2 linked regions of the Danio rerio genome follow. The protein of the gene in region 1 binds, or shares a complex with, the protein of each later gene. Links are inferred from orthologs where the notes say so. Each region holds a gene or a part of one and is shown on either strand. Other genes may lie near its edges. The genes, in order: xpo1b and si:dkey-7n6.2.

The links.
Region 2: the proteins of xpo1b (region 1) and si:dkey-7n6.2 are in contact, whole or in part, in an NMR structure (PDB 2L1L), measured with the Homo sapiens proteins. The link is inferred for Danio rerio from reciprocal best matches to the Homo sapiens genes XPO1 and PKIA. Residues at the interface, in NP_003391.1 of Homo sapiens: Val518, Lys522, Leu525, Cys528, Glu529, Lys534, Lys537, Ala538, Ala541, Ile544, Phe554, His558, Lys560, Phe561, Thr564, Lys568, Phe572, Glu575, Thr576, Val580; in NP_006814.1 of Homo sapiens: Asn36, Leu38, Ala39, Lys41, Leu42, Ala43, Gly44, Leu45, Asp46, Ile47, Asn48, Glu51.

What each region holds. Positions count from the first base shown.
Region 1 is NC_133192.1:25,313,241-25,320,361, reverse strand, and holds the start of xpo1b (exportin-1), read right to left. Parts: upstream 3,866-7,121; 5' UTR 3,278-3,865; coding exon of another isoform or gene 3,275-3,277; 5' UTR 2,188-3,274; coding exon 2,161-2,187; intron 1,891-2,160; coding exon 1,759-1,890; intron 1-1,758. UniProt on the Homo sapiens protein: Mediates the nuclear export of cellular proteins (cargos) bearing a leucine-rich nuclear export signal (NES) and of RNAs.
Region 2 is NC_133199.1:26,673,139-26,680,117, reverse strand, and holds the start of si:dkey-7n6.2 (cAMP-dependent protein kinase inhibitor alpha), read right to left. Parts: upstream 4,184-6,979; 5' UTR 3,859-4,183; intron 1,681-3,858; exon of another isoform or gene 352-1,680; intron 310-351; exon of another isoform or gene 1-309. UniProt on the Homo sapiens protein: Extremely potent competitive inhibitor of cAMP-dependent protein kinase activity, this protein interacts with the catalytic subunit of the enzyme after the cAMP-induced dissociation of its regulatory chains.

The sequences.
Region 1 (7,121 bases):
TCAGTGGTAACAGAATGTCACAGTAAGGTTCCTCATGTAAAAATACATAATTTCTGCAAACCCTAAGGATTTTAAATAACTAATAAAAATAAATTAATTCAATTTAATCCAATTAAACAAAATTTTTCATTTGTTTGTTGTATTGTTAAGCTACACAAAAGTAAACTCAAATTTAATGTTGTAAATGAATCTGTTATATATATATATATATATATATATATATATATATATATATATATATATATATATATATATATATATATATATATATATATATATAAAACATACTGTCACTCAACAGATAGAGAACAATGCAGAATACATCAGTGAGCAAATCAATGCAAAGGCAGGTGCAGATTTACTACCGTTTTCTGCATGAACTAGGCCTGAACGATTTGTCCTAAAACCTAAATCTCGATTAATTAAACATTTTAACTCGATTACGATTAATGAAAGATTGTTTAATTTATTTGTTTTATGTTTTTGCCCTCATAGTTCACTGACAAGTTTTGTACAGTAAATGTGCTCACATATTACAAGTGAGAGATTTTTGATTGTGCATTACTTGATTAAAATTAAAGGAAACACACACTATCTACTGTCTATGATTATTTATTGAACATCAATATTGAACAACTGAGATAAAGACAAACAGTGCCTAAAACGCGGCTCTCCACGCCGCGCACCCACGTCACCTCTACCAAACTGACCAATCACAAAGCTTGTGCAACGTGTCGTTGTGACGCGCAATTACATTTTTTTGAGAAGTGTGCAGGTATGTGAACGCTTTGCTGGACTGTATGTGCCCTTGGCAGAAGTATAAAATGGAATATAATAGGATAAATTGGCCTTGAACAAGCGGGGTCACGTAACTCAACACATGGTAGGGAAAGTAATTGAAAAAATTTACTTGGAAAAATTTGATCAATTACAGGTTCTAAATGTCGATTTCGATTACTTTTCGATTGAGCTCCTTTGTGTTATAAATGGAATTATGCTTTCATTGTAATTTGTTTATCTTAAAATGTTTTGAAAAATCATGCATAAGTTCATATGATTAAATTCAAGATATATTAATAAATATTTATTTTTTTAAATAAATCAGGAAATTATCCACTGCCATTTTGTAATACATTTTATTAATCTTAGGTCCAAAATCCATAATTAAGTTGGCCCATAGTTATGTTTGGCCCTTCATTAGAAAAGGTTAGGGCGTTCCTGACCTAGATGATCTCACCCAACTACATTGAATAGGTGTCTAGGAATCTATCAATCAATATATCAATCGAAATACATCATTCAACATCAACACAAAATTTAAATGAATTGCTTTATATATTTTTAAATGCATTTGGATCATATAATTGTAGTTATTTTCTTGTTAAACTTATCAAGTACACAGTTTTGTACCTTTGTTTTCATCAAGTTTTCATAATCATCTTCGCTAGTAATATTGTAAATTACCTCAAAGTAGCTTGGTTCCATTAACGAGTTACATGATGTTTTATTTTAAAATACACTGCTGGTAAAGTGCAGACAGGGTTATATTTATCCAGTCTTTTGTCAAATGATCACCAAATTAATGCTTATTTCAGGACTCTTAGAATAATACTTTCCCTTTCAATCCATTTATTGTTATTTGTATTGACTATTTTATTATTTGATGTGCACTGGATAATTATCAGCTAATGTTATGTTATATCTTCAACACATACATCTGGTGCTGTATTTACCAATTTGTAAAATGATCTTACTTACCTGTGGCCCAACTCCATGGTACAGGCAGTTGACCACATTATCCAGCAGGTTGATATCCAATTTCTGGTTAAAGTCCAGCAGCTGTCTGGCTGCGTGGTCGGCTAACATTGTCATAATTGCTGGCATAGAGCTCTGTAGGGGACAGGGAGGAAACATCTAGCAGGGGCAAAGTCATGTCAAATGAACATATGGGTACAAAAATCCAAACAGCTGACCATTACGCCCCTCCCTCAACCAAACTCGGGATCACCCAAAAAGCCTTATATGTTCTAGCCTGTCAACACAGTAGTGCCTAATGGAGGGTTTAATCCTTAATAACAATAGGATAGGTTGGTGGCGTGATAAAGGTAACATGTTTGCAGCTTGGATATCCTGATGTGTGGAGAAACAAGAGACACTCACTGGGCTCATGATCATCACACCAGCCATTATTCTCTGAATGAGACCACGTGCTAGGCAGCCCTTTCGCTGACGACATTGTTTACATATAACAGAGGCGTAGCGTTACCGAGCGCTCTGCGTTAGTACACACTTTCTTTCTACTTTCATAAGACCACAACCACAAGACCTAATGCTGACTCGTAGTAGACTGAAGGACACTTGAATGGCCATTGCTCAAGCTAATTCAATTTGTACCCCGAAGCCAAACTGTTGCGTAACGAGGTAAGCATTACGGCCAAGAACCAAAAGAAGTTTGGCATCGGAGGAAATTTCAAGAATTTATTTAGACACGACAGTCAAGCTTTATGAGACCACGGGTCTCGCAGGCATAAACAAAGTGATGTGGTGTGCCATAACTAATCGTCAGTACTGCGCAACCTGTTGATTTACCCTCCTTTTCCACACATCACCTTATTTCATTCAGTAAGCTGTGACCACAATAGGATCTGTAACCCAACATAGAGCTACTAAGCATGCACACGTTTTCAAAACACAACTGGGTTGGACTAAGATAATGCCGCTTATGATGTTCTAGTTGTGTTGATATAGACTAGAACCCCTAATAATGCGTCGCTGTACATGACAGCAACTGCGTATGCATACAATCGTACAAAAGCGCTTGAATGGACGCTTTAGCGCGCGACTGACGTTAAAACGTCCAAGCAAACACCTCTTCCGTGAGAAAACACTGACGTTTCTGACGGACTACACCCGTTTTTGGATGACTTCTACGGGGGTGACTTTGCAAGGATCTCCCTCGCTGACTCTGGAGCAACCCCTCCCACCAACAGCATGCTCTGCACCCTACACCTGAAAGCTCTGCAGGCTTCACCAGCAGTAAACCAGGTAAGTAACACACTGTGGGTGCGTTATACGCGTTTAAATAACTAATGCTTTGGCTCTGGAACAGTCCGGAATGCGGTTTACAGTTGAATGACGCTCGCTAAACCCAAACAAGCGTGCTGCTGAAGTCTAACGTTAGCTCGTGATCGGAAGCGATGCAGTTGTTATTGTTATGATGTTACGTGAGATTAAAACTATTTTTCAAACGAACAAACCCCAAATATAACGTTACCATTTAGTCCAGCGTGACACCAGGAGCCATCACGCCACACACCCGCAACATCCAACAAACACTCAGCAGCACAACCAGCTCACTTTCTTTCGACTTCAACCTCCATACGTGCAATTTCTATTCATTTCAACACAATCTCACAGCATCATCATTCTCCAAACCAACCCAAGCACTCTAACTAGAAGTTTGCACCCCAAATTTACCTACCTAAAGTCCAAGCCTTTGAGAGAAAGAAGGTGGGCTTGTCTGCCAGAGTTGCTAAAATAATGTTTATTTGATCCAGTATCGCTGGTGCCTGTTTGTACACGCTTTCTGGAAAAAAAGCTTTAGGATGAGCCGTTGGCTGGTCAGCCACACTATTCCTCTGTGAAGACTACACGAGCTAGTAGCTTGATTTAAGGACCACTAGGATGTGAATTCCGCACCATCAATCACGGCGAGTTCAGTATTTTCTTACTCCGGTTCATTTTACGAAACAAAGTTAACCTTATTTCAGAAATGTGCTCTATACTTAAGTATATTTTGCACCAGGGCGGTATTAGAGTCTGAGCCTGTGCGCCTCTTCTTCTCACAAGCAACAAACTCGTAACCGGTTGAAACCGGTTCAGACTGGGAGATTCCATCTCGGTTTAGTTTTCAGCCGATGGCGCCGCGAAAAGTTTGGATTAACGTCACGCCCATGGCGGCCTGCTAATGGCCGTTGCGTTGCTAAGCACGTCCTCGCTCACACACCATTGGACGGCGAGCACGTCAATCAATCTATACTCTTTCTAGCGCCCACGCGACCGCTCCGCCCGTTTGGAGAAAAAGAAGGCAAACTGCGTGCAGAATGGACCTGTAATTCCTGATATTATTGCTCTCGTGTGTTTTGTTACTATTGTAAGGAAAAGCTAGTTTTAGCGTTAATAGTAACGTGTTTTGCACGACTCCGTCGATAAACATTCGCGTTTATATCCGCCGCGAGCTTTAATTTGATATTCCCCAGCAGTGCGCGTCTGATAATTGCATACATGCTCGGGAAAATGAATTTCAGGGTGGACTGAAGGAGATCGAGGGCATCGAGTCCGTGAGGCGGATGTTGGAGCTTGTACTTGTGCTGATTGTAAGCTGGTAATTTTCCACGAGCCACGAAGGGGAGTGGTTGTTCAGAGTCAGGGTATGAGACGCATGGCATGGGTCAGAGCTTGATACAATTGGCTTGTGATGGTCTCCATAAACTTAACTACCGCGAAATTGACTCCGGTATGGTTGTGATGGATGATAAACGCATCGAATCGCTCAAAAACATCATTATAAACAATCGGCGTGCTGTTTCATACAGACGTCAAACGCTCGCATGTTCACCCCCTCTTCGCTAGTCACGTGACGCAACGCCACTTAAACGTCAGTTGATGGAAAAATACTGGATTTTGTGTGCGCAAACTAATGTAGTGCCTGAACTGAACAAAGAATGAGAACAAGAATACATTGTCCTCTAGTCGAGCTGTCATTTAGGCTTAAATAAAACTTCGTTCCACAAGGTCACAGTGTCGAAGTCTTTCCGTTTAGTCCAGCATGTGGTCAGTATTACACACCTTCTGAAATGGCTAACTAAACAAGCAGTGTTACTGCACTTTAGGAATAGTAATTTTGTAAATGATATGCCCAACAACTGATCTCCCTTTTAGTAGAGGCCAGCATTTATTCCAGTGTTAGCTGGTGTTTAATTCAGCATTGCTGTTTTGTGCATTTAAATTGCTCCAGGTGTGATTTGATAATCAGCTGTTGTGTGAATCAGATCTATATTCATTACCTTTTGTTGTGTTTTATTATATGCAGGTCACATGCCGATGTAAACTTTGGAAGAAGAGATCAGTATGATGTGGCTTGAATGAATGTTTGTTTGTGAATCGTGTCTCAGTGTCTAGAAGTTTCTATGATATAGTTACTCATGTTTTCCAGGAATCAGAGTCAACTACTTTGTAACCCCTGTTCCAGTTTCTTTCTTTACAGCAGGTTTCCTGAAGTAATTAATAGATAGAGAATGGGTGTGTTTGGATAACACAGAGTAATATGTTGTGTTCAGTTGTGTGTCTTGTATTTAGTTTGAATTAAAGTGACAGTTCACCTGAAAATTGAAGAAGAAATTCCTCGTTTAAAAAATGTTGGAATACTTTGGTGGTCAACGGCTGCTGGGTTTTCGACATTCTTCAAAATGTCTTCTTTTGTGTTGAGGGTAATTATGAGAGAATTGTTTTTAAATTTTAGGGTGAACTATTTCTTTAAAACTCCAAAATTAAACACTAACTCTTTTAACGTTCACACATGGTGAATGTGCTCTTATTTTAGAAATGATAAGAAATCTCTTGTGTTTCTCAGGCTATGACTTCACTTTGTGTAAAAGAAAACTCACCATGCTTCATTTCTTTGTTGTCTCAGCTGTTTTGAATTATTTTGAGAAATACAATAAAGCATTGAAACTTCTCTGGAAGTCTGGTTTTGTTTATTGTGGGTTCCTGATCATGCATATGTACAAAGCATCAAAAGTATAACTGTGGCTGATGTGAAAACCTTGTATGCTTCCTATATTAAAGTGTGCCATTAATCAGCTCATTACAGAGGGTCTGAAAGTTAACAGGGTCAGGGGGCGAGTGAAAGAGGTCGTCCTGCCGAAGTGAGCTTAGGAGGGCTACACGTGCACTGTGGCACATACATGTGAATGAAATGGGCTGCTCTGTTTGGATTGGGCTGGATTGAGCCCGTTCCCACCGGTCCTACTAGTCCATTTACATGCATTATAATGACATCACCTGCTCCTCCCCTGTTTGACAGTTGTCATACTTGTGGTGTTTATGTACTGTCTAATAAACTGTTAATATTACCTTATTTATTGATTACATTTTTTTTAAATTGTTGTTTAGCAAATTGGTCACTATAGACAAACAATAAAACTAGACTGTAAAAATCCTGGTCGTCTTAAATTTTTAAGCTAAATGAAATTAACCTTATGAGTTCATTAAACTTGTTTTGTTGAACTGACTTAAAACAGCTTGTGCAACTTACACAATTAAGTTGGAACTTGAATAACTTAGTTTAATAAGTTATAATGAACTAAAAAAAAACACTATTATGACAAATTGATCATGTTTATTTTTTACAGTGTAGTTACTTGAAATAAAATAGAAATCATTTACTCACCCTTCCCTTGTTCAAAACCTATTTGATTTTCTTCCTTCTACACCAAAGAAGATATTTTGAAAAATGCTGGTTGCTGGTCCCCATTTACTTTAACAGGAATCTTTTTTCCTATTAAGGAGTTTGATGGGTGCCGGGCAGCAACCAGCATGTTTACAAATATCTTGTTTTCATCAGGAGAAAGAAGCTCATAAATGCTTTTTAAAAATGTGAGGGAGGATAAATGACATAGCAAGTTTTTGTTTTTTGAGTGTACTTCCTCTTAATAAAATATCAAAAACTAAATGTATTATAGGGTGACAGGGTGGCTGAGTGGTTAGCAATGTCGCCTCACAGCAAGAAGGTCACTGGTTCGAGACCAGACTGGGTTAGTTGGCATTTGTGGAGTTTGCATGTTCTTCCCGTGTTCACGTGGGTTTCCTCCGGGTGCTCCGGTTTCCCCCACAGTCCAAAGATATGCGGTATAGCCAGGGGTGGATTTAGTGATTTTAGATGTCCTAAGCAACTCCAGCCATAGGGTCTCAATTCCTGAAATGCCCCTTTCTACTTTTATTAAATTGTAATTAATTCAGCTGTTTTTTATATCACTTAATCTTTTTTCTTCACATTAACTTAACATTTTAAATAATCAGATGTCTCAAAATGAATTTACAACTAAAAATAACACTATATA
Region 2 (6,979 bases), on another chromosome or scaffold:
CACCATTTTTAGTTTACTAACTGCGTGCTGAAGGCAGGGTTTCTGCAGGTTTCACAAAGTTAAATTTAAGTGATTTTAAGACATTTTAAGACCATTATGAACACAATCTAGATGCTAAGATGCTAGATGCTAAGAAAGGGCTAGATGCTAAGAATGTTATTTGAATATCCCAGATAGAAAAGATTTTCACTTGCCCCATCAAAAATTATTACAATTTTATACATTTAACAATACAACAACAACAACAATAATCATAGTAGTAGTAGTAATAATAATAATAATAATAATAATAATAATAATAATAATAATCTTTGATTTTTTTTACATTTTCAAATGTATTTATTCACAAACTCTATAACTCTTACCAAGAATAGAACAAAACATAGCTGTCAATTACTTCAGTCTACAATAATAATTAAAAAAATAGGTCAGGTCAGTATCCTTAGCAGTAAATAAATAGAAAACTTTTTTTTAAGCAAATGTTACTGTAAGGAAAGTAAAAATAAATGCTATTTAAAAAAAAAAAAAAGTTTAATTGAGGTGGATTGTTGGTGGTGTAAATGGCCAGCTATCCATGAACAAAGGAAAATTAAAACTTTTTCAAAAAAGATTTAAGACCTACAACACAACATTTCAGTAGATTTAGGACTTTTTAAAACCTAAAATTTAGCTTTTGTGATTAAAGACATATAAGACCCCGTGGATATCCTGGAAGGTGACCGTGCTCACCTGAAAACACCACAAACTAGTGAACTGTAAAGAAATTAATTTTATACCAAATAGTATAATGAAATATTGGTGATTTATTATCAATTTGGGAATCCATGTAAATATCAAAACAGATGTGGCACAAATCTGCAAGATTATCTCGAATTTTGTTGAACTAATTATCAGGGATGGGATGTAAGGACGGTCTTCCCTGAGCTCACGGTTATATTTAGCTCATGTTATCATCTCAGCACAGTCATTCTGCCTTTAAAATGATGCCACTGTGTGGAGAAACACCCTAAAGGAGGTCATCATTACAGAGCTGATTCACTGTACTAAAATAAGAGGGAAATTTTTAAAAATAGTGTTGGATTTCGCATAAAATGCTCAATTCTTTTCCAAATGACTTTATGTAACGTGGCTATACCAAAACATGTACTATTTTTATTCTTTTTAAAGTTAAGTGAAATTAAATATAAACTACATTTATAAAGCAAAAAAATATATTTAATTTTATTGCCAAAGAAATATTTCTCATATTATTTTTATTTAGTTTTAATACTGTATTAAAATGTCAAACCAACACAAAAAGCAATACAAACTATAAAATGTATTTTTTTTTTATTAAATTAAATTAAACAGAGCAAAAACAAAGGGCAACGCAGCGGCACAGTGAGTAGCGCCGTAGCCTCACTGCAAATACAGTAGGTCACTGGTTTAAGCCTCGGCTGGGTCAGTTGGCATTCTTGTGTGGAGTTTGCATGTTCTCCCAGTGTTCGTGTGGGTTTCCTCCAGGTGCTCCCGTTTCCCCCACAAGTCCAAAGACATGCGGTACAGAAGAAGAAGTGTGTATGGATTTTTCCCAGTGTTAGGTTACTTGTGGCTGGAAGGGGATCCGCTGCGTAAAACATACTGTGTGCTGGATAGGTCGATGGTTCATTCTGCTCTGGCAACCCCAGATAAATAAAGGGACTGGGCCGAAAAGAAAATGAATAAATGAATGAAAAAAATACATATTTTTGAAATTGCAGGAAAAACTAATTAACTTACAATAAATGTAGTTTATTTTAGGTTGTTGCCTATAGGAAATACTGCTTTTTTGAATTACTGAATTACTTGAATTTCACTCAAAAAAATAAAACACAAAATAAAATAAAAAACATTTAAAACCACATAGACTTAATAAATAATGAAAAAGACAAAAATACAACTAAATTTAGTACAAGCCCCAGTGCTGGAAAACACACAAACACTCTCTCATTCACACACTACAGCCAATTGAGGTTTATCCAGGTCACTTATACTGCATGTTTTTGGTCTATGGGGGAAACCGGAGAACCTGGAGGAAACCCACATGAACATGAGGAGAACATGCCAACTCTACACAGAGTGTAGACTCTACACCTGGCCCAACCGGGACTAAAACTAGCGACCTTCTTGCTGAATAAGTTGAAGATAACTCAGCATTTTTACTGTAGAGCATACACCTTTTTACACAACAAAGAACAAGATAGTTGTTGAATGGTGTGGAGATAGCTGTGCCTGTTTTCTGTATAATATGCAGTTGAAGTCAGAATTATTAGCCCCCCTTTAAATTATAATTTTTTTTATTATTATTTCTCAAATGATGTTTAAAAGATCAAGGAAATTTTCACAGTATGTCTAATGTTTTTTTTTTCTTCTGGAGAAATTCTAAATTGTTTTACTTTGGCTAGTATAAAAGCAGTTTTTAATTTTTTAAAACCCATTTTAAGGTCAACTTTTTTTGTGTGTGTGATAGTCTACAGAACAAACTATTATTATACAATAATTTGTCTATTTACTCTAACCTGCCTAGTTAACCTGGTTAAGCCTTTAAATATCACTTTAAGCTGTAAAAAAGCACGTTTGTTAAAAAATATCCAATAAAATATTATTTACTGTCATTATGGCAAAGATCAAATAAATCATTTATTAGAAACTAGTTATTAAAACGATTATATTTAGAAATGTGTTGAAAAAAATCTTCTCTCCGTTAAACAAAAATTGGAGAAAAAATAAGCAGGGGGGCTAATAATTCTGACTTCAACTGTAGGTATCCCAATTACTTGCATGCAAAAGTAATGTATTAAAATATTAATATTTAATATTATTTCAAATGAACACTGAATTTTATTCTAGCAAATTTAGGGCTTTTCTGTCTGTAATACAGATATACGAGTGCAATACATATTTTGTTGCTCAGCGAACACTGAATTTTAACATAAGCAAATTTGAATCCAAATGCAAAGCAAATGCAAATAAAGTGTCTACTTCAATGTTTCAATAACTTGTCAAAATGTAATAGCAATACATGGGCGAAACAACTTTCCATTATCATTCAGCACAATATATACTGTATTGATGTAAAAATAAAACATTTACTCTAACCTCAACTTTAAAGAATAATTAGTCATCATATTAAATTGTATTATATTTTAAACATTTAAAAAGTTCTTGCTGACAAAAGAATGAAACTAGTTTGAAGGATGGTGGAAAAAAACAGAATACATTAAATTTTTGGGGGCTCAATTGTAAACCTTTTAAAAAATCTATCAAATATGATTGCTATAAAAACATTGCTGCACTGACTAAATGCTCTTATATAAAATCATAGATTTTTTTTTACTGCAACATTGATTTCCACAAGTCAAATCTATTCATCATCCTCACAATAAAGGCAAACTGAAACAACATCAATGATATTGAACAAAAAAGCTAGGTTTGCCTTAATTTAACTCAAGTTCTGCACGTTTATTCCACACAACCATGACCAAAAACTGTAAACTAGAGCATAAATTTAATAGTTTATATCACGTAAAAATGAATAAAACATAAATGTACTGCGGCTACCCGGTGTCGTCCTTGATGTCACGTGTACTCGATTTATAACATCATATCAAAACACATAGCCTAGCATATCATACCCACATGACATATCTAGACATGACAGCTACAAGTGGCCATCCCAGTGGAGAAATTCTTACATTTACAGTCCAGCACACGGCGTTTAAGCTCATATCAATGAAACGGTTATATAAAACCGACAAGGTAACACAGAAGCTAATGAAACAGGCGGGCGACCGTCTAAAATGATATACCCAGAAAGCCGAACGAGTCCGCAAATTGTACCTGTTTTAGGCTGGACGTTTTTCCTATAATTGTCACTGCTGTACAGTTTTGTCGCTCCGGTTTACTTCAGTTGGATGCGACGGTGGCGGTGCTGCTGCTGCTTCAGTCCATGAGTCTGCAAGAGAAGATAGAGATGACGTATGCGCGTAACCGGGCGATGCTGATATGCGAGGATTATCCAAAACCATTCTATCTGCTTATGCCCAGTAATGCCGAGGAGTTTGATTCATTTCAGTGACTCGAATCTTTTGAACTTGTTCACTGATTCGCTCAGTAAGGGCTCTGCCTCTGCACACACTCGCACTTGTCTACTTGCATGACGTATTTCCTGTATTTGGCACAACTTTTAACACACTATAAAATTCTTCATAAAATATATCTAGTGAATAGTACTTTGGCAAAGTATTTGGAGGTTGATAGTTCATGCACATTTTGTAAAACTGAAGACGAAACGCTGATTCACATTTTTTTTTTCAATGTGAAAACACAAAAAGCATTTGGAATAGCTTATATCTCCATATAGGTAATTATTGCTTTTTCCAGACCCTTTAAACTATACAAGATATTATTTGTTACTATAAAAGTAAAACTGATTTATCAGAGAACTACATTATTACCTTTTTTATTTTGTATGGAAAGTATTATCACAAACAAAAATTATTCAATTCGCAGCCTTCTTTTTCACATTTTTTAATTTAAATTGATGTTTTTATTAAATCTCTTAGACTGGTTAATAACAAGAAAAGTGATAGATTCTTAGATTATTTTGACAATTATTTTAGAAAAATTAACAGGGTATGAATGTATCGTTATTTTTTTCTTTTACTTTTCTTTGCTTTTGTTTCTCTCTTTATTTTATTTTTTATTTTTTTATGTGTGTTTATATTTTTAACCTGATCTGTTATTATCATTGTTACTATCATTGTGTTTTTGTGTGTGTGTGTGTGTGTAAAATTGGATTGTCTATGTTTGTTATTAATTAATTAAATAATATATAAATAATTTGAACACACTAAAAATTATGTTTTGAAAAAAGTTATGGTTTATTGAGCTTTATAATTTGTACTTTAAAATAAATATTATCTACAGTCACATTACAAATTAATTCAGGAAATTCACAACATACTTACATATACTCTAATATTTAATTTTAAAAAAGTAAATAAATAAATAAATAAATAACAGTGACAACATGGCAATGTAGCTGACTACATCCATATTACATTCAAATTACATAAATTATTACTTTATAAAACAGTTGCAAAGTAATTATTTATTTAAAACAAGTGCTTACCCAAGAGAGTGTGCTATTTCAGATGCAGCCTTCTTCTTGTGTTACATTCTGTTTTAAATACTATGTGATTTGAGATGCAGAAATTGTTTGGGGTTTTATTATGGATAGTTTGCGATAAAAACATACATTTTTTTAATGCACGTAGGAAAACACCACCATAAAATTAGTTATTTCAGGCAGTTGCCAACTATGTACTTGCATAGAATCTAAAGATTCAAATGGTATAATAAAAATAAATGAATAAACAAATAAAAAGGGTTGCATGGTGGCACAGTAAGTAACATGTTTGCCTTACAGCAAAATGGTTGCAAGTTCAACCTCGGCTGTGTCAGTTGGCGTTTCTTTGTGGAGTTTGAATGTTCTCCCAGTACGCATGGGTTTCCTCCGGGTACTGCAGATTCGGCCACTGTCCAAAGACATTCACTATAGTTGAATTGGGTAAGCTAAATTGTCCGTAGTGTATGAGTGTGTATGAGTGTGAATGAGCAGCTTTCTTCTTGTCGTCACATTCTGTTTTAAATAGTATGTGCTATTTCAGATGCAAAAATCATCAGAAGTCGCCACAGCAGAATGAACTGCCAACTTACTTTCTAGAAAATAGCCATAAGTTGCTCAAATAGCAATAAATAAGCATACATTTGTTTGTCAAATCTCTTCATTAATTGGTAGAAATGGAAAACTACTATTAGCTAAAGACCCTTTTTTATCAGAGCTTTTAAAGCAATATTTATTTATTCATTTTCCTTCGGCTTAGTCTCTATTTCAGAGCTCACCATAGCAGAATGAACCGCCAACTTATTCAGCCTATGTTTTACACAGTGGATGTCTTTCCAGCTGCAACCCAGTACTGGGAAACATCCATATACTCATTCACACACATACTCTACGGACAATTTAGCTTTCAATTCAATTCACCTATAATGCAGTCTTTAGCCTGTGGGGTATTTAATCTTTTTATCTCATTATTTTTATTCAATGAGAATTACTCAGGGTGGCGTGGTGGCGCAGTGTAGTGCTGTCACCTCACAGCAAGAAGGTCCCTGGTTCAGGCCTAAGCTGGGTCAGTTGGCATTTCTGTGTGGGGTTTGCATGTTCTGTCCGTGTTTACATGGGGTTTCCTGTGGGTGCTCCGGTTTCCCCTACAAGTCCAAAGACATGCGGGTGAATTGGGAAAGCTAAATTGTCCGTAGTGTATGTGTGTGAATAAGAGTGTATGGGTGCTTCCCATTGATGGGTTGCGGCTGAAAGGGCATCCGCTGCGTAAAATATATGCTGCATAAGCAGGTGGTTCATTCCGCTGTGGGGACCCCTGATTAATAAAGGGACTAAAACAAAAAGAAAATAAATGAATGGGAATTACTCACATAGCCTATGTCTCATTCAAACAAATTGTTGTTCCACATATGTTTTCATTGAGGAAATCTCAGACAGTGCAGCTGTTGCTCTGATTTTGACATGCATTTCTCACCACATTGGCAGATGTGCTGGGATGCCATCCAACATTCAGCAATTCAGTCTTTAAACAAGGGCCCTATTGTCTGGCATTTCATCCAAAAACACATGCTCATTGTTGCATAAAACGGGCAAGTAAACAATATCCTTACACAGCCTAAAACAGGGAAATACGGTGCAATATGGCATCTGCAGTGGAGTATAATTACTTGAGTATTTGTTATTACTCTTTTTTGTAAATAGTAGCTTTAGCTCTGAAAATATGCCAGTAATACATACGAAAGATAATTTATATAAAACGATATGCTACAATAATTATACATTTAGAGAGTAAATATTAAAAGAACGCGAATAATAACATAAACAAAGGCCTAT